Linked DNA regions of Xenopus tropicalis. The protein of the gene in region 2 purifies or fractionates together with the protein of the main gene of each other region. This does not show direct contact. Links are inferred from orthologs where the notes say so. Each region holds a gene or a part of one and is shown on either strand. Other genes may lie near its edges. The genes, in order: dapk3 and luzp1.

The links.
Region 1: the proteins of luzp1 (region 2) and dapk3 purify together in Homo sapiens (affinity purification with mass spectrometry; 3 studies listed by BioGRID and IntAct, with this or other methods). This does not show direct contact. The link is inferred for Xenopus tropicalis from reciprocal best matches to the Homo sapiens genes LUZP1 and DAPK3.

What each region holds. Positions count from the first base shown.
Region 1 is NC_030677.2:93,137,501-93,150,398, forward strand, and holds the end of dapk3 (death-associated protein kinase 3), read left to right. Parts: intron 1-1,940; coding exon 1,941-2,301; intron 2,302-2,892; coding exon 2,893-3,022; intron 3,023-3,522; coding exon 3,523-3,571; intron 3,572-4,622; coding exon 4,623-4,649; intron 4,650-4,780; coding exon 4,781-4,933; intron 4,934-7,483; coding exon 7,484-7,529; coding exon of another isoform or gene 7,530-7,562; intron 7,563-8,211; coding exon 8,212-8,742; 3' UTR 8,743-9,256; downstream 9,257-12,898. UniProt on the Homo sapiens protein: Serine/threonine kinase which is involved in the regulation of apoptosis, autophagy, transcription, translation and actin cytoskeleton reorganization. Involved in the regulation of smooth muscle contraction.
Region 2 is NC_030678.2:89,342,765-89,355,662, forward strand, and holds part of luzp1 (leucine zipper protein 1), read right to left. Parts: intron 7,440-12,898; 5' UTR 7,304-7,439; coding exon 4,340-7,303; intron 2,237-4,339; coding exon 2,102-2,236; 3' UTR 2,074-2,101; intron 1-2,073.

The DNA.
Region 1 (12,898 bases), on a different chromosome or scaffold from region 2:
AGCAAGTCAGGTCTGTAAAATCTGCTGGGTTGTGTTACATTGTTTCAAATGCCAGAGCCACCAGGGCAGAGAAAAGAAAAGGACAGGCAGACACTACTCTTATAGCAATTATATATACAAATAATTCAAAAACCATTGCAAATTTGTAATGAATGCATATTGTAAAGTTGGTTAGAATGATGTTTTCTTTTTATTTGGCAAAAAGTTATATTTTTGGTTGACTTGTCCTTTATGTTGGCCATACATAAAATGTAAAGGTAAAAATTTGTAACTGATTTTACAATCTATATGGTTGTTTGTTTACCTTAATCAAATGTGCAGCATAAATACAATTGATCAGATAACCTTGTCAGCTGTGAACTGTACCTATTGGTACCATCTGTCCAGGCCTATAAGCAGCACTTTGGACCAGATATTGCAGCTATAAAATTTTTTACATAAAATCTTTGCTGTCCTGGACCCCACCAGTCTAAATGTATTGTTCTACATGATGGTGACCCCGGCTAATGTTAGTTCAACCAAACATTACATCAACAGAGTTGATGCCAGTATCTCTCTATTTTTTTTTTTTTCTCCTGTTTACACAGCTATCTTTTTGTGTTTTGCCTGTGTTTGGACCATGTGTCTAACATCCCTTCAATGAAAACATGATTTTTCATGATTAAAACAAGAGTCAAAATGTATATTCAATGAGGTTAGGGACCTCAGATCTTGCTAGCTCCAACACTGTGCGCAGCTTGGGTTTACTAATTGATGGGGAATTAAACTTCAGGAGCCAAATTTCAGCTGGGGTGAAACATTCCTTCTTTCACCTAAGGAATATTGCAAAAATTAAACACCTCATTCCTTCTGAGGTTCTTCCAACCCTAGTTCACGCCTTCATCTCATCACGACTGGACTATTGCAATGCCCTCTATGCAGGCCTTCCAAATAAAGACTACACCGCCTGCAGCTAGTACAGAATGCTGCCGCAAGATTGCTAACCAGCCAACCCCGCCATTGCCACATAACACCAATCCTTCGCTCACTGTACTGGCTACCCATAAAATGGAGAATCCTTTTCAAAATTGGGATGCTAACATTCAAATCCCCACATGGCCTGGGCCCCGGATACCTGAAGGACTTGCTGCAACTACGTCACACCTCCCACAATCTTAGATCAAATGGATCCAATAATCTGACCACCCCCAGAGTTCAACTGAAAACCTTTGGATCCAGAGTTTTCTGTCATGCTGCCCCTACCCTGTGGAACGCCTTGCCAAACGGGATCAAGACAGCTCCAACCTTGGACACATTTAAATCAAAACTGAAAAGCCACCTGTTTAGCCTGGCATTTATGGCCACATAACTTATCTGAGACAAGCTTATGCGCTTTGGGTCCCACGGGAGAAAAGCGCTTTGCAAATGTTTGTTGTTGTTGTTGTTGTTGTTATATTCAGCTTAAGACCTATTTATCTATATGGGGAGTATACTGGGCATTTAAATAGCCCTGTCTCAAAATAGCATGAAATGTTGCCATTATGATCCCCTAGTGGATTTCTACCCCATAATTATGTTACTTGACATTTTGGGAGGTTATTACAAGATTTAAATACAAGCTCTCATTACTATGTTGATGGTGAACAGTAAGTGGCTATTTTCTTTTTACATCTTTTACAAATATGGCCATAGTGGTTAAATTTCCTTAATCAGTCCTTTTGCTTATCCTTGCCTTCAAAGAACCAACATTTATGTGGATAATAGGGCAGCACTGGAAATTAAAGAGTGAAAACTGAGCTTGCCAGAGAAAAAAAACACAGCTCAAACTAGTGTTAGTAGTGGGTTAGGAGATGATTAGAGATGATTTTTGAGTACTTATTAGGTGAACCCTGTTTTCATGAAAATGCTCACAATGTCTAAATTGATATGAATAATTTTTATTGATTTATTTATTTTACTAGTGGGCAGTTTGCAATTGTGCGGAAATGCCGCGAGCGTTCTACCGGTGTGGAGTATGCAGCCAAGTTTATTAAGAAGCGCAGATTGTCATCTAGTCGCCGAGGTGTGAGCCGTGAAGAAATTGAGAGGGAGGTAGACATACTAAGAGAAATTCAGCACCCCAACATCATCACCTTACATGATGTGTTTGAAAATCGCACAGATGTGGTCCTGATACTTGAGCTGGTTTCTGGAGGGGAGCTTTTTGACTTTCTGGCACAAAAGGAAAGTTTAAGTGAGGAAGAGGCAACCATGTTTCTGAAGCAGATTCTTGATGGGGTTCACTATTTGCACCACAAGAATATTGCACATTTTGACCTCAAGGTATGTCTCCATCAGCTCTTGCTTAATAATTATTTATAATATTTTACAGGGAAACATTCGTATATTTAGATCCTCGCAGACTGTCATATATGGCCCCCAACAAACACTGGGGCCATATATGCCATATAGGCATTTGAGGGCCCAGTCTTAGGTCAGCAGCTTTAGGGGGTGGCCCTAGGGTGCTTATATATTAGTTAAAGAAATGAGAGGAAAAATCTACCTAGCCCTCCACCGGGTACTTGTTCCTAAATCTGGTGAAGGAGGTGAGGGGGTGTTCTTAATTGTCAGTGAAGGGAGCAGGCTGTGGTCCAGTGCCTATGGCAGCATAGGACCTTTGGACCTAAATACAGTCCTGGCAACAGGCTATAGGCGGAGGATGCATGGGATTTGTTCATACAATTGTTTTATAGTAATGGTTTATTCATGCATGTAAATATATTGCAGTACATTTTCATATCCAGTTGATACAAAAATAATTACAATACTGGTAGTATTAATAGTGTTAAATTGAAAACATAGATGTTAAGTTGTTTAGCTGTGAGGAAATTGTTGGTCCATTTATCTGTTTATCTGCTTTTTGTTTTTATACAGCCAGAGAATATCATGCTTCTGGACCACAGCTCCCCCAGTCCAAGAATAAAACTTATAGATTTTGGAATTGCTCACAAGATAGAAGCTGGGAATGAATTCAAAAATATCTTTGGAACTCCAGAATTTGTAGGTAAGAGAGACTTGGGAAATGGTTGTGTTATTATCCAAGATTCACTTTTATTTGTTATCTTTTTATTTACCATTTTTTACATTATTATTAACATATTTTCCAGGGTATCCTGGATAGTATAACCAACCAACAAAAGATGGATGTTGTCAGTGATTTGTAAGAAAAACGGAGACAGACTGACTTAGAACAAATATGTAGAGAAGCGTAGAGAAGCATTAAAGTAAATTCCTTTCCAGTGGTTTAGATCAGTGCTGTCCAATTGTGGCTAAGGTCTTAATAATGTTTGTGTTAATATTGGTGTGGTTTTAAAAAGGGAGTGAACAAACCTCACGTCCATTATCTCCCGCCACCATTTAGGCCAGAAAAATTGTGGCCCTCGGTACCTCAGAGATTGGATAATGCTGGTTTAGATAAGCCCAGAGTCCTCGGTTTTGTAGTTCTTGTGTTCCAAAGAGTCCAGGGCAAGATTCTAATTGACTTTTAAACTTCTTCTACTCCAGCTCCTGAAATCGTAAACTATGAGCCATTAGGACTGGAAGCTGATATGTGGTAAGACTGACCTTATGTGTACCATTTAAAAGGATGGGGGAATTTGTTAGATGGCATGGAATATTACAGGACTGCTACAGGGAAGAAATTATTCAAGGAACCAACACTTTTGTGGGTGGCGTAATGGTCTCAAAGATGTTTTAATATCTTTTTCAAAAATAAGTAAAAAATGGGGGATTTTCAAGGTGTTTTATTTAAATATAATTACATTACAAACATAATGCAAAACATGTTTTTGGGTGACGTTTCCTTGTAAGTAATGTGTTTTACTATTCAGATAATACAAAAGAAAAATATAAATAAAACAAGCAGCCACCCTTTTACTACAGTGAGTCAGGGATATAGACTGTTTGGTATGCTATGACTAACCAGCCAAGTATTTTCCCTGGTCTGGCTTGTTTGTGAAGTGTAGAAATTTTATATCCAAGTTTAGGCAATAGCATATGCAAGTGAAAAGACCATCCATGATCATGTCCTAAATGAAAAGGCTGATGCATTATTTTAAGTACATTTTGATCCTATTTTTACAACTTTTATATCTCTTTACCAGTCAGTGATTAGTTTTTTTCCAGCCAGCTGCAGGTAGAACAAAGAATACTGTCATGGAAAAACATGTTTTTTTTTTGTTTTTTTTTTCATCAGTCAATAGAGCTTCTCCAGCAGAATCCTGCATTGAAATCCTTTTTTCAAAAACATAAAAAAAATTTTTATAATTAATTTTGATTTCATGCCTGTTACAGATAAGAGGTACAAATATGCCGGTAACAGTACTAGTACTGTCAAATTCAAGTAAATTGGAGGTGGTTTTGGTGGATTCAGGCACATCTCTGCCAGTTTAAATGGCCAGTGTACCATTGGCCTAACGTTTTTTTAAGAAGATACTTTATTTTATAATAATAATGCATTTTTTTTAGACGTGTTTTTTTTTTTTTTTTTTTTAATAAGATTAAACTCTGGGCTTTCATGGATGAACATTAGTCAAGTAGGAAAATGAAAAAAATAAAATGTTAATGTGCTAATGACTACAGCTATATCCATTGTTTCCCTGCAGGAGCATTGGAGTCATCACATACATTCTGTAAGTATGTTATAACCAAGAATTTGTCAGGTACCACTATGCTTCTTTCTATTAGTTCTTGTTATAAAACATATGCAGATAGCATAATTTTTTTCTGACTTTATAGCCTTTGAAACTTGCCTTTTATTCAGCCTCAGTGGTGCATCACCATTTCTTGGAGACACCAAGCAGGAAACTCTGACCAACATTTCAGGTGTGAATTATGATTTTGATGAGGAATATTTCAGCAACACTAGTGAACTGGCTAAAGATTTTATTCGTCGGCTATTGGTCAAAGATCCAAAGTAAGTTATTTTCGCATCTCATCTTTTCTTCCCATTATTGCTAGCTTTTGTTCTTGAAGAGAGAACTGATAATACAGATAGGGACAGCAGTATGGGACAGCACTCCTTTTTCACTTTTTCATGTTAAAATAAAGTATTTACATTTCAGGTCCCTTTGTAATTGGGGCATCAGCGGCAAGCAGGGTAAAATTTGCACAACAAATGGTGGGGGGGGCATTAAACCTTTGACCTGATAGTGTTGGGTGAAAATTTGATGTGTCAAAACAAGGCTGCTGTCGGGGCGGGGGTGGGGCAAGTGGGGACTGTTGTCCTGGGCCTAGCTGCATTACAAAAGTTACAAAAAGTGAGCAAGTTACATTAAAACTTATGCAGTTTAGGTACCTTGAACAACAATTTAACTTAACTTGCCTAGAGACTTATGTAAAAATATGGATCAAGCAATTACAGTGCAGAGAAGCTTGACAAAAGCAGGCAGGAGCAAAGGAGAACTAAACCCTAAAAATGAATATGGTTAGAAATGCCATATTTTATAAACTAAACTGACTGCACTAGCCAAATGTTAAGTTTCAGCAATGATATAAGACTTTACAATTGTCACAGGAGCTCCTCATCTTGGATTCTTTTAGAATGGTCTGGGACAGTGCACATGCTCAGTGAGCTCCGAGCAGCTGTTGAGAAGGGGTTGTTGCAAATTATCAAGCAGAAAATCAGGTTGGCCTGTCAAATAACCTGCTGCTAACGGGCTAATTATTAAAATCTGATGCCAATTGCAATGGTTTCCGAGCTGCCATGTTATGTGAATCCAAATGAATAACTAATCAGCCTTGTACAGTTACATTTATATTCTATATACACAGTATATTCGGTGCATTGGTCCCCAAGCTCAGTAACTGACAGCAGCACAGAGCATGTGCAATGGATCAGCAGAAAACAAAATGGGGAGCTACTGGGGGCATCTTTGGAGGCAGAGATCTTCCCTGCTAAATGACTGTGGTTTCCTTGGGCTGGTACAGAAGCCCAAAACATATTGTACACCATTTCTACCCTATTTCTTTAGTTAAGCTTTAGTTCTCATTTAGGGCAATTTCCATTTCCCCCAATAAACTGACTTTATTAGAACATTAATTAATGGAACTATTTATAAACTACCTATTATAGAGTAAAATCATCTGTTAATATTGGGATCTATTTACTGAAGTATATGAGCCTCTCCTACGTGAACTTTCTGGCAGTGGAATGAGTAGTTAATGGCCCCGCAGAAAGATCATTGGGCCCCTGAATTTATTATAAAAGTATTTATGTGAACTACTACTGACTAGTTATTGGTGTATATGTACAGGTATGGGAACTATAATCCAGAATGCTCGGGACCTGGGGTTTTCCCAATTTGGATCTCCATAACTTAAGTCTGCTAAAAATCATTTAAATATTGATAGCAGAAGTTATGGAGATCCAAATAGGACAATTCTGCCTCCAATAAGGATTAATTATATCTTAGTTGGGATCAAGTACAAGGTTCTGTTTTCTTATTACAGGGGAAAAAGGGAATTATTTGCTTATAATGGAGTCTATGGGAGGTGGCCTTTCCATAATTCAGAACTTTCTGGATAATGGGTTTCCGGATAAGGGATCCCATACCTGTACTACATGTACACAATTTTCGTAATTTATTGAAAAACTTAAGTTTGTGGGAACTTCTGTAACGTCTGTATCAAGCAATGACAGCGCAGACCAGTCTGATGGGTCAGGTAGGTGGGTATGTTTTAACTTGGGGCAAATTCTATTGCCCCCCCCAATAAATTGACTGACTTATTGGCACATTACTTAATGCAACTATTAATATGAACTACTTATTATGGAGTAACAACAGCTTGTTTATAAAATAAATTGCCATGTCACTATTTTAATAGCTGCAGCTAGTGTTGTGAAGTTATTAAATAGTGTTGCATATTGTATTGCTCAATATTCTTATGCGCCTTTAAGGAATAATTCCCAGGGGTATTGCCAAATTGTCATTAAAGTCAGTCTATATAGTATGTTAAATGTCTCCTTTACGGTGTATCTATACACCAAACCAATTTAATAGGCACAAATGCAAGTTAGTGTTGCTAAGCTGTGTTTTATCATGGGGTGCATCTGCCTTACAGCCAGATCCCTTTTAACACTGTTACACCAAACTTAGTCCATGCACACTCAAATGCTTTTTTAACACAGCTATGTCTGCATGAAAGGGCTCTTTCCATTCCTGTCCCTATATAGTTACCCCCTGCTTTTGATTAAATAGAAAATATAGGTTGAATATATAGGTAGAAATATAGGTTGAAAAAATACATCCAGCAAGTGCAACCTTTTGTCCCAGCAAAATAATGACTTTTTCTGATTCAACTTCGAAATTATATGGGAGGGGGTTCAGAAGTAAAAATGTCATGCTTTCGCATGGCTAGATTTTGTGGCAATGTCTGTAATCTAGGTAGTCGATTTTTTTTTTTTTTCGTTAAATGAAAAAGCAAGGCTGATTTTTGGTTTTTTTTTTCTTGTTCTTTTTTTTAGAAAAAGAATGACCATTGATCAGAGTTTAGAGCATTCGTGGATTAAGGTGAGAGGACCTTCAGCCCTTCACACTACAAAGGTCTACTTTTTTTCAGTCATCTAAATGCGAAGACACACAGAACTATTTGTTACAGCTACTTAATGCCAGAAAATGCCCTGCCATAAACAATACTGAGAATTGCCTCTGCTAAAACACACGTATAGACCATTATTGGTAAATTATTAGCATTGTGTATTTTTGTAGCCATGACAAGTTGCTGCTGCTAGTAGCTCTGTGTGTCTTCACCCTAATGGTAATAGTCTTATCTGGCTAAGTAAAAAGGTTGTAAACATAAAAAATCTAAGCAGCTCTCTGATACATTTATTACACATTTCAGATTTGTAAATGTAATTGCTAATGAAAGCATGTCTGTCAGTCCTTTGCCATTCTGTGCAGTCAATGCTTGTTTTCACTGTTGAAACAATAATGTAAGATAAAGATAGTAACAAGCATATAAACCACTCTAAGCGTGCTCAAAAACTATAATATCTGTGTTGTCTTAACAGAGCTGCAATGAAATCAGACTATACCCTCTAACATAAAACTCTTGACTGTAACTAGTGCTGATTTAAAAACTGTAACAGTGCATTGTATCCTGTTGGCTATAGTAAATTGTTTACTTTTGTTAAAAAAAATCCAAGTCGTTTAAATTTATACATTTTAATATAGTTTATACTTCCATTACTAGGCTATCAAGCGTCGAAATGTCCGACATGAGGACAGTGGAAAACGTCCTGAACGTCGTCGCCTGAAGACTACTCGTTTGAAGGAATACACAATAAAATCACATTCTAGCATGCCCCCAAATAACACCTATGTGAATTTTGAAAGATTTAGCCATGTGTTGGAGGAGCTAGGAGCAGCAGAAGATGCACTTCGTGAGCTTCAAAAGAGTCAGGCCACCTCACGCGAGGACCTTTGCGCCCTGCGCTCTATCTATGAGGAAAAGGAAAGTTGGTACCATGAAGAACAGGAAGGAGTTGGGCGCCAACTAGTAGGGCTCCGGCAAGAACTGCAGCGCAGAGAGGGTCAGCGTCGGCAGGTACAGGAGGATTTAAGGGGAGCTATGCTTAGTGCCAATGCTCTGAAGAGAAGGTTTGGTAAACTGGAAAATAGATATGAGGCCCTGCAGGTGCAGTTCACTGCAGAGATGAGCTTTGTGGAAGATTTATTAAAAACTGTGGAGAGAGGTGGAGATGGATTAAGAGGGGTTTGCTGAAAAATGTATGTTTCTTTTCCCAAATAACCTTGGATTATTTCAGTCCTACTATTTAAAGACTGCAATTGTACCTGAATGCGCTTATGCTCTTATGTTTAACCACTTCCTGTACATTCAGCGTTAGCAGGTATGGACAGTATTTAGTTCTGTACATTGGCATAGTCATTTACACTTACAGTTTAGTGATCCAGACCAAAATTTGGTGTAGACATTCCACATACATATCTATGCAAATAATGTGGATTATGTCCCCATTCCTGTCCAAAGCACTGGAGTTACACCAGTGCACTTTATTTATGTACTGTTATTAGACTGTTATGTCCTGCACTAAAATGCTTGTGTTGAAAAATACTGTTCTGAATAATGGTATCAAATTGCACCTATATAAAAGAAAAATATTATCTGACAACTTAAGGCTATGTGGGTACATGTGCTTGGACATTACACCACTGTATTATAACTTAGAATTGTCATTCCATCTAAAAATAAAGGCTTAATGTCCATCAACTAAAACTTTTTTGGTATTGTATTTGTCTATACAAATTTGCTCCCCTGCGGCAAATTCGAGAGACTTCAGGTGGGGTTTTTTTTTGCCTTCCTCTGGATCAACGCAGTTTAGATATAGGTATTAGGTTGAGCTTAATGGACATATGTCTTTTTTTCAGCCTAACTTATCCTATGTATATGTTACCGCCAAGTAAATGTTCCTGTTTTATTATTACAGAAAAAAAGTAAATATTTTCCAAAAATTAGAATTAACTCTACGGGAGATGGCCTTCCCATAATTTGCAACGTTCTGGATAAAGCATTCTGTAATTACCTCGGTTTATGTTTCTTGCAAAACAGCATACATTCAATGAGGGAACAAAAACTCAATTTCAGGAAATTAAATTAAGATCAGTATTTATTTTTAGTACATAGATTGGGACATTTTTTCAGCTTTATTCCCCAGTAGATCCTTCCTGCGGGCCGCAAGGGCATCCATTGTGATTAGAAGAAAGAAGGTTCCATCTAAATATTCTGAAAAGGGTTTTACAGTGAGAGCTGTAAAGTTGTGAAATTCCCTACCTGAATCAGTTGTGCCGGCTGATACATTAAATGGAACCAATCATCAACCAAAACGGTTTCCCCCACCAGAGGTGCACGAATTGTTATGTGCATGTGTGTGAGGTAGAAGGGTGAATCGCATCCACCGCTCCTACATCATGCGCATGCACAAAATGTGCAAACAGGGAGACTAGCTCATTATACGTGTGTGGGGCAAACAACATGGCCACCCACACTGGTGCGGGCAGCCTAGTAATGGTGGGACCTGTGGTGTGTTTTTTTATAAACTATTTTCCCCCCCAACTTGAATGCGGGCTCTATTAGCCCACACCTCCTAGACAAGCTGGCAATCAGGGTGGTTAAGTTGTAGATGAGATTCAGTGCTCATAATAGTATGTTTATGTACCTGAGATTTAAAATATACAAAGCACTTTTAATTTTAATTATACTAATGCAAATCCTTCATGGAAAAGGACTTGTAAGTGCCTAAAAGGTATTGTTCTGTATTTTAAAAAAAAAAAAAAAAAAAAAAAGAATACAAGGCACTAGTTAGGGCCATCTAGAATATGTTTTGATATCATGTGCTCAAATTTGAAAGCTGAAATAGTGTCCAAAAAAATCACTAAGCTAATAAACGGCATTGGAACTCTTAGTTATGACGAAAGTCTGGCCAAGTTAGAACTTTGAATTTGTAGGACCTAAAGTGGTTGTACTGAGAGATACATTGGATGACTTTTTAGCAAGTGAGAAAATACAGGCTTACTAAAATTAGCTTTTAATGGAGAATGAAAGCACCAGTCATTTAGAGATGCCAAATGTTAGGCAAACCCAAGTGATTGTAATCACTTACCTGATACTGAACATAACATAACAAAAAAGATTGCTTTTTCACTCTACCGTTCATGCGTCAGCCCTTGGATTTTGAAAGATTCTTGAAATAAAAAGAAGAACCGTAAAGGAGGATTGCTCCTTGGTTCTCACACAGAAGTACCCTGGCCCAGTGCAGTTTTCTGCTAACAGGAGCACCAGCCCAGGGTATCAGGAAACGATTACAATCACAAATTGTAAAGGATTGGAGAGTGGGATTTTTCCACCTTCCTCTAAATTAACTAGAAGAATTAACCTTAATATATAAATAGTCATAAATTGGTACCACTCATAATGGAGTTAACAATAGTAAGGCCTCACCTTGAGTATGCAGTGCAGTTTTGGGCTCCAGTCCTTAAGAAGGACATTAATGAGCTGGAGAGAGTGCAGAGACGTGCAACTAAACTGGTAAGAGGGATGGAAGATTTAAACTATGAGGTTAGAATGTCGAGGTTGGGGTTGTTTTCTCTGGAAAAGAGGCGCTTGCGAGGGGACATGATTAGTCTGTACAAGTACATTAGAGGGGATTATAGGCAGATAGGGGGTGTTCTTTTTTCCCATAGAAGCGATCAACGCACCAGAGGTCACCCCTTTAGATTAGAGGAACGGAGCTTCCATTTGAAGCAGCGTAGGTGGATTTTCATGGTGAGGGCAGTGAGGTTGTGGAATGCCCTTCCTAGAGATGTGGTAATGGCAGATTCTGTTAATGCCTTTAAGAGGGGCTTGGATGAGTTCTTGAACAATCAGAATATCCAAGGCTAATATGATACTAATATCTACAGTTAGTATTAGTGGTTGTATATATAGTTTATGTATGTGATTGTATACATTGGTAGGTGTGGGTTGTGTGTGCTGGGTTTACTTGGATGGGTTGAACTTGGTGGACTCTGGTCTTTTTTCAACCCTATGTAACTAAAAGGTTCTGGCTACCGGCTGCCTTCTAGTTTCCTCACTATCACCTTTTTTCTCTGATTTTATAAATTCATTATAAGATTGTAATTAAGATAAAATGTCAATGTATTTCTCTCTAAGAATTTTGTCCTTAAAGGAGAAAGAAAGGTAAAAACTAAGTAAGCTTTATCAGAAAGGTCTATGTAAATACAGCCATAAGCACTCACAGAAATGCTGCACTGACTTCTCTGTAAAAAGATTTCTTGTGCCAGAAACACACAGTTTTCTGCTGTCTCCTCTCTCCTGCTCCCCCCTCACTCAAGAATCCTAAGAACTCACCCCCCCCCTTAGGAATGTGGATCTGAGCCAATCAGCAGGAAGCTGACTCATAGTCTAACTAACTGAGCATGTTCACTTGGTCTTGGTGCAGGAGCGAGGCATTATGGGAACTTTCTTTACAGAGCCCAGCACTTTTTTTTCCTATGAGGCTTCTGATGATCTGAACAGGAGAAATATGGGGAGACTTAAAGGCACTATTGAGAGAACAGAAGGTATGCCTGCAGCTTGAGATTAATGCTTTATTCGCCTTTCCTTCTCCTTTGATAACAGTAATGTCATGGGAATGAGATACATTACCAATTTGTTGAATTGTAGAAAGAGCTTGAGCCACACTGGTGCTTGGTGTTTGAAAAGTCCCTCTGTGAAACCAAGGGTGATGGAGCAGCCGCTGCCTGTAATTCAACCCTTTGCAGTTATCCACTTGAAGCACCAGATTGTTCAGGGGTTGCAGTGTACTGAGGTCAGGATAGTGCAGGCCATATGTACCTACTTGGGGTAGACCTTTCTTTGCCCTGCATCTCTACCGGTCTTTTGCACTTAATGTCGCACTTTTTGCAGGACTTTTTAAACAAAGAGCTTAAAGAAGAAGTAAACCTTTTTTTTCTATTTCTAAAATTACTCTAAACAACCCCCAGCATAACATACCTTAAGCTGGCCATACACGTGGCGATCTGACGATGTTTTGTACGACCATCGGTCGCACGAAACATCGTCAGATCCGCCACACACCATTCAGGGCTGAATCGGCAGGTAAGGAGGTAGAAACAATAGGATTTCTACCTCCTTCTGCCGATTCAGCTCTGAAGGGAGAATTTTGGTCAGGCGCCTTCTATGGCGCCCGATCAAAATTTTCTAACCTGGCCGATCGACGAGCCGACTGATTTCAGCAGCTTCCTGCGACATCGGTCGGCTCGCTGACATACCTTACACGCACCGATTATCCTACGAAACGAGGTTTCGTACGATAATATCGGTGCGTGTATGGCCACCTTTAGTCCTGGCATGCCCAGAT
Region 2 (12,898 bases):
GAGTTGAAAAACTCACCTCAGGCAGTAGCAGCTCAAAAGAGCTGAAATTCCAATTTTTAAATAAGAGTTTCAGCTCTCTGTACTAGTGATGCCCCCCCTCGCTTTATTTACACTATATAAATTATTTAAATCTTGTTTCCTTAGCCTTGGAGTTACACAACTACAGCAAGCAGGCAGGAGCCATTTGGCTGGTAATGACAGCTTTGCATCATCCCAAAATCTTGTTTATGTGCCAGAATGGTGGACCTAATGCCCATGCACTGGTACACAATTAGATTGTAAGGAGGAAGGGGAAAATTTAGGAGTGCAGTGGCATCTATAAAGTGCTAAATTGAAAGTGAAAATAATTGTCTGCTCCACCTCTAAGCCTAGAGGCGGGGCACCTAGAATTTTCAAATGCCGTTATAATGGATTCGGATTTCAAGACTTTAATTACACAGCTTTTTATGCCTGGGTGACAGGTCCCCTTTAACAAATTTGGGGTTTTTTTCCAGAGATTATTTTTGCCCGAGATCCAGCATGAGGTCCTTAACTCACACAGGGTATCCTTAATCATTGCTTGAGCCTGAAGGCTCGAGCAATCATAAATCTGGCCCTAAGTGTCTATTCACCTTATTAAAAATTGTTATTCAAGTGATTTAAAAGACTGTAGGGGTTATATAATAAAAGGCACTAAGTTTGACCAGGAGCAGTAACCCATAGCAACCAATCAGCAGGTAGCTTTTACTGCTCACCTGTTTAAGAACAAACAACTTAATGGTTGCTATGGTTTACTTCTCCTGGGCAAACATTGTGCCTTTTATTATGGTTATACCACATTTGTTATTGGCTGCTGTTTACATTTTTTGTCTTCACTGCCAATGTATTACAGCCCATTACGTGCTTAATAAATTTGGGTTCACTTGCCTACATGTGGACTTACTGGGAAGCTTTGGGGGGTATCATTACAGTCATAGTATACTAAGCAGCATCCAAGGGTTAGATACACGGGTGGGATATATCCCACCCATGGGTACAGTTTTGTATACTGTAAATATTACCATGGCAACATCAAAAAACATTCCGGTAAATACTGATACAAGCAGGAAACAGTGTTATTTTATTATTCTACTGAGCACTGCACTGCTATCTTGTCTCTTATCCCAGGAATCCCTTGCAGCTACACTAGCTGAAGGGCATGTGCAGTAGTGTATCTTTGGAATTTAGAGAGTAAAATCTTTTATTGGAGATTAGCTTGGGAGAGTTTGTTGCCTGGCTCCCTTCCACTATCCACCTTCCTAGAGGAGTATTCTCAGTGCTAAATGCAAAAGGATCACACATGCATGGTACAATCTCAGTTTCCACAACCATAATGATATATCACTGTAGAAATCCTACAAGGGAGGAAGCAGAGTGTTGGCAGCAGCCTCCACTGCAAAACACAACAAATATAGGAATACAGTTATTATATGGTGAAAGCTAACCCTGGAGCATTATGAGGCAGAGTGTGGAAACATATTACCACAAGATGGTGCTGTAGAGTTTATTTCACCTATAGGGCTCTTACATACAGGCAGTTGTCCTGTTTCCCTTGTCCTGCTTTCCACTGCAAGGAAATGCACATGTTAATGCAGCCTGTTCTTTTAAAACATCTATTACAGGGAAGCTCCAAAATGCAGATGGAACACAACTTGGGTACAAACATATAGAAAAGAACAGGCTGCATTTCTTCAGGCATTTTATTGGGGTGAAACACATCAAAGATCGACCCCAAGGAAAAGCTCATGTGCAAGAGCCCTTACCAAGGGCAGAAAATCATGAAACTTTGCATGCTGTTCCACTAAAGTGTCAAATAAACCAATTGGCTGCAGTTCTACAATGTTAAGCGCTATGAACCTCATTTTTTTCATTACTGAAAAAAGATTGTTGCATCATTTTTTTACAGCAATATTTAAATCTATAATCAATTCATTGTGAGCAGATTCATGTAACATACCATTTGTGATCAAAAATGCAGCACAATGCAACACGTTTTTGTTATAGCCTTGACAGCACAATGTTTGTATTCATAAATGCAAATAGAAGGCAGCTCACCTTCTTAGGCTTGTACTTCTTCCACGGGTTATTGCTCTAACCTTCGTATCCGTTCCTCCACCATGCTTGGCTGTTGATGCAAAGATTTACTCCCAGAAGTGTCGACTTTTGTCAGTTTTTCAAGATTGTTCGCCTTTCTCCTAGAGCTATAACTGTACTCACTCTGAATAGGAAAGGAAGGGAGAGGATATTAACACCATATGGTAGGACAAAACTTTATCTTGCTTAAAGGGCCAGTAACACCTGTAAAACACTATGGTCTCATTTATTATACTTTGAACTAGAGAATCCAGAAAAATTACCTAGCATTTTTTTAAGACATCCTCTGGTGTTTTTAGTCATTAATGTCATTCCCAGCTAGTGTTCCAGTTCGGTGCCTGGCTTTTACCTGGAAACAAGCTATCTTGGCTATTGGTCTGTTAGGCCATGCACATGTACATGTATTATTAACACATTCCTCTTATTAGACTTATTAGAATGCATTGAGTTGAGAGCAGCAAGTGAGAAATAAGCCAAAATATGGATGGTGGGTATAAGGATATATGCTGGGCAGAAAATTGATTTTATCAAATATGGGCACCAGCTGGAAAAGAAAGGTTAAATGATGCGGTCAGCAATGAGTGCCTTACAAAATATAGCACGCCAAAATTACCTTTCCTTGTTCCTTTAGTGCTGTACATAGACATTAAAGGTTTTGTGGCTTTCGGAATTATTTTGAAGCTCTGATAAACAGGGCGTTTGGTGGGTTGATCAACTGCCGGGGCCATAACCTAAGAAAATTCAAGATGTGCAGGCCCTGTGTATATGGGCACCTAGAAAGACTTCCTGGCTAATAACCTCACACAATTGCTGACCAAAACTCAAAAAAGTCTCTGATTCTAAATAGATTTTAATCATCTTAAAGAGGACCTGTCACCCACACATAAAAAGCTGTATTTAAAAGGTCCTTTGCAAATTAAACTTAAATCCAAATTCTTTTTTTTATTAAAACAATCATACCTTTTACAAAAGGTATTTAAAAATCTGGGCTGTCAATCATACATTGCCTGCTTCAGGCATAGAGGTGGGGCAGGCAATTTCTTTCACTTTCTATTCAGCACTTCCTAGATTTCATTGCATTTATGTATCCTGTACATGGGCATCAAGTGCCTAATTGTGGAGCATAAACAAAATTTTGGTATGATGCACAGCTTGTCTTAATAACTTGCTTGCTGTAATTGTGTACTTGCAAGATTGAGGGTTAAAAAGATTTATAGAATTTATGTAGTGTAAGTAAAGTTTATTAAATGCTCAACCAACATGATAAAACAGGATTTGGAATGATTTCTTAATGTGACTGTTCCCCTTTTAGCAATAAGCTCAAAGCCAGAACTAAATCTGGCCAATCTGGTTGAAAAGACTGAAGAGTATAACCAGCCTGTGTGTGGGCAACTTAATGTGGCTCTGTTGGGCTTTAAGCATAATTAATTAATTTACAAACCTTGCTACACTTCACATAATAGTCTAAGCTTTTTTTTACCAATTTTTTAAACCCAACTCTCTTCACATCTGCAGTGCTGATTCTACTTATCACTTCTCTGATGCACCTACTGATACCTTGCCTTTAGACCTGAGCAAATAAACCCATATTTCTATGTAGGGATGCACCGAATCCAGGATTTGGTTTGTGATTCAGCCTTTTTCAGCAGGATTTGGATTCAGCTGAATTGACACTCCTTGCAGAACCGAATCTGAATCCTTAAAATCACAAGACTTTTTGTCACAAACCTAAAAGTTGAAAAAAAATTTCTGCATGTGCAGCGCATGGTGCTCTATAACCCGTCCATATCCTAATTTACACATGCAAATCAGGGCTCCAAATCTGTATTCGCCCAAATCTTTTACAAAGGGTTCGGCTGAATCCGAAAATAGTGGATTTGGGGCATCCTGACTGGTTGCTAAAAGTTACTGCAATAAAAATTATTGTGGACTCTTTTCCACTACCGATCAGGATTTCAAAAGCTTAAAAATACTTAATATATCAATAACAAAAGTTTATTCCTAAAAGGGACATAATGACTAATCTTCACGTCAAAAAATGTTGATTTTCTCCAATATATGAATTATTTTGCATGCACTTGTATGTTATTTATTAAAATTATCTGTTTCTGATTAAATGATTATGACAAATATATTTTGTTTTAAAACCCTTATTTAAGAACATAATATGCTAAACCAATAAAAGCACTAAACCAACAGAAGCACAAAGAAAATAGCTATGTCATACCTCTGTGCTCAGGCGATTCCAGGAATTAAGTCCTGCAGATGAGCTCCTTTTGGAAACCGTTTCATTGACTGTACAACTGTTTTCAAAAGAATTCCTGTTCCTTGAATACATTTCCCGGGTATGAAGTTTTCCAGGTCTCTCATCCTCGAAAGCAGACCTTCGTCTGTGCTTAGTATCCACTGTCACATCTTTGTGATTAGACAAAATATCTAGTTCTTCAGTGGATCCAAACACATTGCGTCCATAAGAACTTCTTACCTTTACACTTTTATTATCCAAATGATTCCCTTCAATTTCATGACTTTTCAGCAAAACAGTTTCTAGTCCAACACTATTATTGTTGTTTTTCATTTGTTCTTTGAAATTGCCAGGGTCAAAAGCCTTGCTGTTCTCCTTATGATCCAAGTTATCTTTTGTATCCACCAATTTTAACATATCTTGTTTATTGATTGATATTTCAAATGGGATACTTATGTTATTTAACAAAGGTTGGTCATTGGCAGATAGCCGAATATTACTGGTAGAAGTATGCCTTTGTTTTATGATTTCATCTGTGTTAGATCGAGATGAAGGTGATTCGGCTGGAAAAAATGTTATGCTACTTGTCACTTTATTTGTTGTTGTGTTAATTTGTGATCTACTCTGTTCTGCACTGGATCTTGCTCTGTATTCGCCCATACTTTCTTTTGTGTCTTTTTCAACAATAACTGGCTTAATGATCACTGTGGATTGCAAAGCTTCTCTTGGGCTATATGATCTTGCCCTTATTTCTATGCGGGAAGGTTTTTCCATGCTTTCTGAATTATCAGAAGATGTTCTTCTGGATATGTCAGATAATGAATCTCTTTGTTGTTGCTGACTGTCCATATCAAACTGGGAAATCCTCTGCTCCAGTACGTGTGTCTTTTCTTTAGGATTTGACTGTCTTCTGTTCTGAATTCTTAAAGTTACATTTCTTTTGTCCCATTCTTTATTTTCAGTAGATTCTGAAATATGAGGTTTTTCAGGAATTTGTGGCTTTAAAGATGATAATGGTCTTTGTCTTTCTCTGTTATATGACACTCTATTTGAATTTAAGTTTTGATTTCCACTATCTTTACTTGATAGTGGCTTGGTGGATTGGGCAGTGTCAGAAGAGTTTGTGATGCTATCCATTCTTGATTTAAGACGCGAGTATCTGGAAGGTCTATCCCGAGATATGTCCTTTACTTCACTACTGTCTGAATTAGGAGCAGTCTTAGTTTGTACTTCCACCATTTTTGCCGTATATTTATCTGGAGAGGTCCCCTCTAACCCAGAAGTGACTGGTTCTGAATGCAATGCAGATGAAGAGTTATCATCCAACTGCACTTCATGAAAATTTGAATTGACTTTGTCTGATTTGGCACCAGGAGTCTCATTTAAATCTTCATCTTCTTCAGATGTGCTCTCTTTTCTTGAGTCAACAATCTGAGTAACTTTAATAGAATAGTCTTCTCCAAATTGTTTTGCGGATACATCTTTATTTCCTGTTGATGCTTTCCATGTTTTTTGGGTGTTGTGTTCTTGGGCAGCTGGTGGATATCGACTTAATACAGATGGCTGATCTTTAGCCTTTTTTATTTCATGTAGAGCTCCAAACTCTTTAGCAGCAGATACATTGGAAGTTAGTCTATCTTCAGATTTCCTTGAATGGCTTAAAGTCATGTCAGATAAAGTAGGTTTTAAGGGTCTCTTGCTATTTGTACTTGTGCTTGATAAATGTCTCTTAGAGGAAATATCCACATCTATGTCACGGTGTCTCTCTTTTCTCAGTTGTTTTGGAGACAAATCTCTCTGAGTATATTTTGATGCAGGAGGTTCAGGTATTACTCCTTTAGACTTATTAGCTCTTTCATTTTTCGATTTATTGTGTAAACTTAATTCATCGCTACCAATAACTCCATTTTCTACTTCATTCTGCTGACTAACTTGTCTTTTTAGTTCCTTAAGTTCACCATCCAAATGTCTGGCTTTATTCTGTTCACCAAGGAAGATTTCTTGCAATTTTCTATTTTTCTCTCTAAACTGTTTGAGCTCTTCGTCAATTCCCTCAAATCGTTTTATCTGACTTTTAAGATTCTCAATTTCTTGACACAAATCATGTATTTTATTGTCTTCTTGTTGTTTATTCCTCTCGTTTTCGCTAGTTGTTTGATTCTCTGATTTAATGTAGTCAAAACCAACTCCTTGAGACAATTTAGATATCACATTGTCTTCAATCCGTATTTTATTGTGTTCCAGTAACTGATCAGATGACCGCTGCAAAACATTTGATTCGTTTTGGGTCTGGTCTCCAATGTTTTTTTTACCTTTTAACTGCTGTTTAAGTTCCTGAATTATTTTTTCATTCTGCTTTTCCTTCTCCAGAAAATATTTTCTTTCATTAGCAAAACCAACAGCCAAAGACCTAATCTTTTCAAGTTCACTAGTCAAAAACTCTTCAGCTTTATCCAGTTTGCTTTCAGAAGATTCCAGTTCTCTAATTCTGGCCCTAAGTGTTTCAAGTTCAGAAGTCAATTTCCTAGACATATTTTTTTCTTCATTCAAGCTAAGACACAGTTGGGTGCAGTCATTTTTGCTCTTGCTAAAAGCTTCTTCCAGCTTCTCCAGTTCTGTCATCTTTTTTTGGAGAATTTCAATTTCTGACCTAAGTTCTCGAGTAACATTTTCTTCATTTTCTAGTTTTTCCCTAACAATTCTGCACAAATCCTCCGCTTTTTTAACCTCTTCGTCTTTACCTTCAATTTTTACAACCCTCTTTCTCAAAGCGTCAATATCTGCCAACATGCTAGAGTTGTTCCCTTCTACTTGGACAATTTTTTCCTGAAGTTCCAAAACTTCATCTTCTGCTTTCTGAAGATTTCTTGTAGCTTCTTCCAGATCATCCAGGCGACGATTTAGACTTTGTAACTTAAAGCGAAGATGTCTGCTTGTGTGTTCCATGGCTGCAGTAAACTGATGGCTCTCACAAGAGCCCTTACCAAATCTTTTTTCTAATATGAGTTCGTTGGCAAGTCAGTTATTATCCTTTCTCTTCTTGATAAGCACACCTTGGCGGACATCCAGTCATCATTTTAACCTTAAAAAGAATGATAAAATGAAGATTACCATAGGCATTCAAATCTTTATAACATGTTTCTATACAAAATTCATTCTATATATGAAAGTGCTTCATGTGGTGTGTACATTTCTTTCAGTTGTCAGTCAACGAAGAAAAGGCTAAGTCACTTGGGGGTGCCAAAATGTTAGGCACCCCCAAGTGACTTTAAGGACCAAATCTAAGCTGCACGGTCTCCACTGTGTTGGTTATTGGTTACAGTTTTGTAATGTAAAACAAGCATAACATGTTCTGTGGACCCTGGTCCGTGAAGGTAGCATCCCATTAAATCAAGCAAATGCCATAAGTAGCCCTCAAGGACTTGAGTGACTATCTTAAATTTAATATGTTTTATAGACTGTAAAGCCACAACAGGTTGAGAGGACCCATTGCCTCTTGGGGTATAGAGGTTTAAATAAAATCCTTGAAATTGCTGCCTATGAAAACTAGAACAGCGATACCTGCACAGTACAAAAAATCTACCACAAGAAGAAAAGCTCTTGCTTTGATAGGGTGGTTTGATACCCCTACCGTGAAAAACGTTTGGGGAAAGTGAAGTGTACACTGTGTCAAGTTGCTCGGATCTTCCCAACCAGTTTGTCCCATTCATATTTACCAGCTAAAATATTGTCACCAATTGAACCCCTTTTCTAGGGTCCTTCCACTCTCTCAGCAAACTTATCAGGTCTTATGGCTTCAAATACCATCTATACTGATGAAACAAAATTCTTGCTCTTTGCCTGTTCTTCATCTTCTTTTGTTATATCTCATGTGTTCATCTGTTGTTCTACTATAAAACAAAACTTGTTGCGTTTATACCCACCCATACTGTCATAGTAATAACACTTACTTTGCGGTCAGATTTGTTAATAACTTTTCCTTTACACTGTACATCCAATAAATCAAATAATCTCACTAGTTACATCTCGAAAAAATTCCTGCAACGATGCACCCCTCTAGAGTACAACAACCTACTTCTTACTGTCACTCCCCTGCATATGCCCTTAATAGATCCATAATGTTGCTGTAAAACTCAACTAAAGGTGGCCCTCAAAGGCATATTTAAGCAGCTGATTTGGGTCCTTCAGACCATTTTCGGCAGCTTATCTGCCCATGTACGGGAACCCCTGAATGGACAATATCAGGCCTACAACTGGCCAGATGTTGTAGTTCATTGGTTTGGCCCTCTAATTACTCTGATATTGCCCACCTTAGATGGGCATATAGATGGAAAGATCCACTCATCTGGCTGCCTCCACAAACAAGCGGATCGTATATTGTTACCAGGGTGCTGCCCAAAAGGTCCACTAGACAGAGAGTAATAAATATCTTCACTAAAAAGGTAACCATGTTAAAAATTAGCTCTGTGCCATGAGACAAGGTAAGAATCTAGCCTCAGGGTCAGTGAGTGGCCAGCTACCAGGGGTGGCAAAAAGCTGCCTTTGGTAACTTAAAGAAGAGAATTTCCGTTTTTAAAAATAAAAATTTGACTCTAAGTGCAGAGGGAGCACTAGCAGAGCAAGGTGTGGCTCGTTCTTGACCCGCTCCAAACATAAAAGAGGTAAGTGTGGATGGCACTAATAGCAGCTATAATAAAGTAAAGAACATAGAGAGTAAACTTCTGTCCTACACTAACCTAAGATATTGATCAAGACTCGTGAGTTGGATCTATATCAAACATGAAAAACAAACTTGTGAAAACACCATGTCTTTATTTTAGCACAAACATTTCTAGTCAAGATTGAACTTAAAAGCTCTTATGGGTTTATTGCAGTGATGTGTATCTAGCAAACTGAATGACTATCTAGGAAAAAATGAGAAAACATCTATACTATTTCTTCTGCCAGGTACCCCTGTACCTCTCTGTATTTTTGAGAGATTATTTGCATTGATCTATCATGTGGGCAGGGAGGAAAAAGAATACCTACACAGCCACCAAATGATGACATGAGCAAGCATAAGCCTATTCTATCACATCTTGACTTAATTAAAATGTGTCTGTTTTGAATCACGCGTTTTCCTTCCCCTTGCGGAGATGGAAATGCACTAAACAATCTCTTTTTATACAACAATAATTTGCCTATAAATATCCATTACTTTTAATGAAAAAATATAGTTAGACTGATGCAGGCCTAACTTCTTTAATATCTTCTGTTAACATATATACATGTACACATGCAAAAATTCTATCCTATATTTAAGGATTCCTTTTAAAGGAAAAGTAACACTAAATTTTTTTAAGTAAAAAATCTAATCTACCCTGATCCAATAATTGCCCTATCCTTCCCAGCGTTTATTATTTTAAATGCTTTATTAGAAAATACCGGCGATCTTCCCTCTTTACAATCCACTATGTGATGAGCGACATCTTCTCCTTGCCAGACTCCAAAACCGGAAGTCAATTGTTTGTCTGTACAGAAGGAAGGCAAGGAGGAGATGTGGATCATCGCATAGTGGATTGTGCAGGGGGAAGATCGCCGTATCGCCGTGTTTGAAATGACCGGATGCAAAGTTTTAGAAAGTATTTTAAACTGGCACATTTGTAGAAAACAATGCAAATAGGGACATCAGATTTAAAACAATTTAACATTATCATTTCTGCGATTAATTTGTGACTAATTTAAATAATATCTCTCAATGCATAAACTTTGTAAAGATTAATAAAAAAAAGAAAAGAATGCTCTAGATTGTGGAAGAGACTTCAGGTCTAAATGGATACAAATTTATAGTATTTTAAGAGACTTTAGGAGCAGATTAAATTTGTGAGACAATGAAGTAACAGTTTAGGGTGAGGATACGAAAAAAATGTTCAAACCTGTACGGTCCTGCAGACAGACACACCTGTGCTGTTCAGAAACCAGTAACACAGCAAATATCAGCAAAGTATCATTCCTAAACCAGGTGCGTGTGTGTATAAACTGTCTGTGACTTGTATATATGTATTTAGCATTCACTCTGAGTCACTGAAACAGCATTTGTCATTTTCAAAATATGCATTTTAAAGGGACTCTAATGATAATTTAAAAGCATGTCGTTTGTTGCTCTAACGTAAGCATCCAAGACTGTGGCAGCCGATTAAGCTACCTGAGTACAAATGTCTGTCATCTACTGGAAAGAGAAAATTAAAAGCCAAATACCACAACAAAACGAAATAGCTGTTTAATACCTAACAATGTTTTGCTCGTTCAAGAAGGTTAAGCCTTTAAGCCTGTACAGCTGGGCATGCTGCAATGTACTAAACAAAACTGTCACTTATACACTGCATAAAAGCTACCCATCTGGCCTATTTTATAATGAGTTTGAAGCCTGATTTACTATAATGGAGTTTAAGCACAAGCACCATACTGCACATCACATTAGACTGACATCATAAACAGTTTAATTATTTTGTTTTGAGGCACACAGCTACATCTGGCTTAGTGCTTAATGCTTCACATGCCATTTGTATATTAAAAGACATATTTAATCTAAACAAGCTATGCAAAAGGAAAATACCAAAGTATCTGTAATTTAACAGTTATCACCATTATCTCACACATAAAATCTTATTTTTTTTTTTTATCTAATGCAGTACTGTCCAACTTCTGTGGTACCGAGGGCCAGAATTTTTCTGGCCTACATGGTGGAGGGCAGATAATGGAAGACAGTTTTGACCACTCCCCTTTTTTAAACTGCACCCATGTCATCACAAGAGCTTTTAAGACCATACCCACATTAACGGTGGCAGCGCAGCAAAAACCCAAATGGTTGGTGCTCACTGCAGGGATTTCACCCTTCTTTCATATGTGAAAGAAGTTTATAATGTTAAAAAAAAAAAGGTTTATAATGTCATATTAAGGCATACCCTTAAATCCATATGGCTCCTCCCCCCCTGTGGGTAGCACAACAACCTCCAGCACATAATTACACACCTTATGGACTAAAAATGATTATTTCCAATTGCCAGGTTCTACTCCCACAGGCAGCATAGGGCAAACAGAGTATGGTACACACAGTTAGCATAGGGCAGGCAGAGTTCTGCCCTATGCTGCCTGTGTTTGCCTTGCTCTGCCTGCCCTATGCTGCCTATGTGTGCCATACACCCAGGCAGCATAGGGCAGACAGTACATACAGTGACACAATGCTGGCACTGCTCCTTCATAAACCCTTTGGGTAAATATAGGAAATGCCTAGTTGATGAAACTGAAAGCCCAACCAAATCTGCTATAGGTCCAATTTTACCTACAGTGAAAATGGAACCATAGTACTAAGATATAACTTACAGTTTAGGGGGCATTGACAATGTTACCAACTTTATATAACTGATTGTTTGAGGTCATTACATTTTTATTTACACACAATCTAGGATCATCATCCACAAAGCACAGAATTACTTGATTTTCATACAGAACAGCATCAACACTAATCCCTGCTCAACATCTCTACATGTTATCACAGCACTAGGCAAAGCACTGAACTTAAATGACCTTTCAGTTGATTTGCTTTCCTGCTAAAGGGGACCACATTTTGTTTTAACATGTTATCCATTATTTATATAGAGTCAACATATTTTAAACACTTTACACAGATCATCTAAATCAGTCCCTGCGCTAGGCAGCTTAGATCAGCAGCTTCACTATTCAATTCAGACACACAAAAGGGTCAATTACATTTGAAGCCAATTTGCATGCAATAAGATTGATGATTGATAGGTGGCACCCCACCATGTAGAAACCCTTGCAATTTTGCAGTAATAATTTTTTTTTTGTTTTGTTTTTTAATTTATCCATTCATAGATATAGCCACAGCTTCAGTGCTTTAGACATAAAAGCTTTCAGCAGCTGTGCTGTCTCACACTCCACACTCCCTGCAGTGTGAGCCAATCAGACACTTGGTACCTGAACACAGCATGTTCAGGTGGGGCTGCCTGGCACTCATGGCTGCATCTCTGGAGGACTACAAGAGCATTAACAATCAAATAAAGGGAATTCTCCATCTCTAAAGAGAGACGCCATCTCTCCACTAGAGAGAACCAGATTCTCCAAAAGGTGGCCATGTAAAAGCCAATCTCCTATGTTCTCTGAGCGTTTGGCTCACGGGCCACATGGATGGAGATCTTACTAAAGGCCACGCATGTTATGGCTACACTTTTATTTCTCCGATCAAGTCACACTAGCTATCAGAAAGAGTATAGAAGCCTCTTCCCTTCCTTATCTCGCAATGAACCATGCACTGGTGTATTGGTAGATGAATGTTTTAAACTTGCGTTATCCCAGAATGGACTAATATGTATAGTAGACGGATACTGGTCAGGATCAATGCCCAACAATACACAGACAAATAATGTGCACCTATGGCCGCCGTAACAGTGCTATTTGTCTTTAGGAACATTCCCACTATTCCTTCAGTGTAAAATGTCACCTGTCTCCATGCTGAAGATTGTCATTCCAGATGCAGTCAGC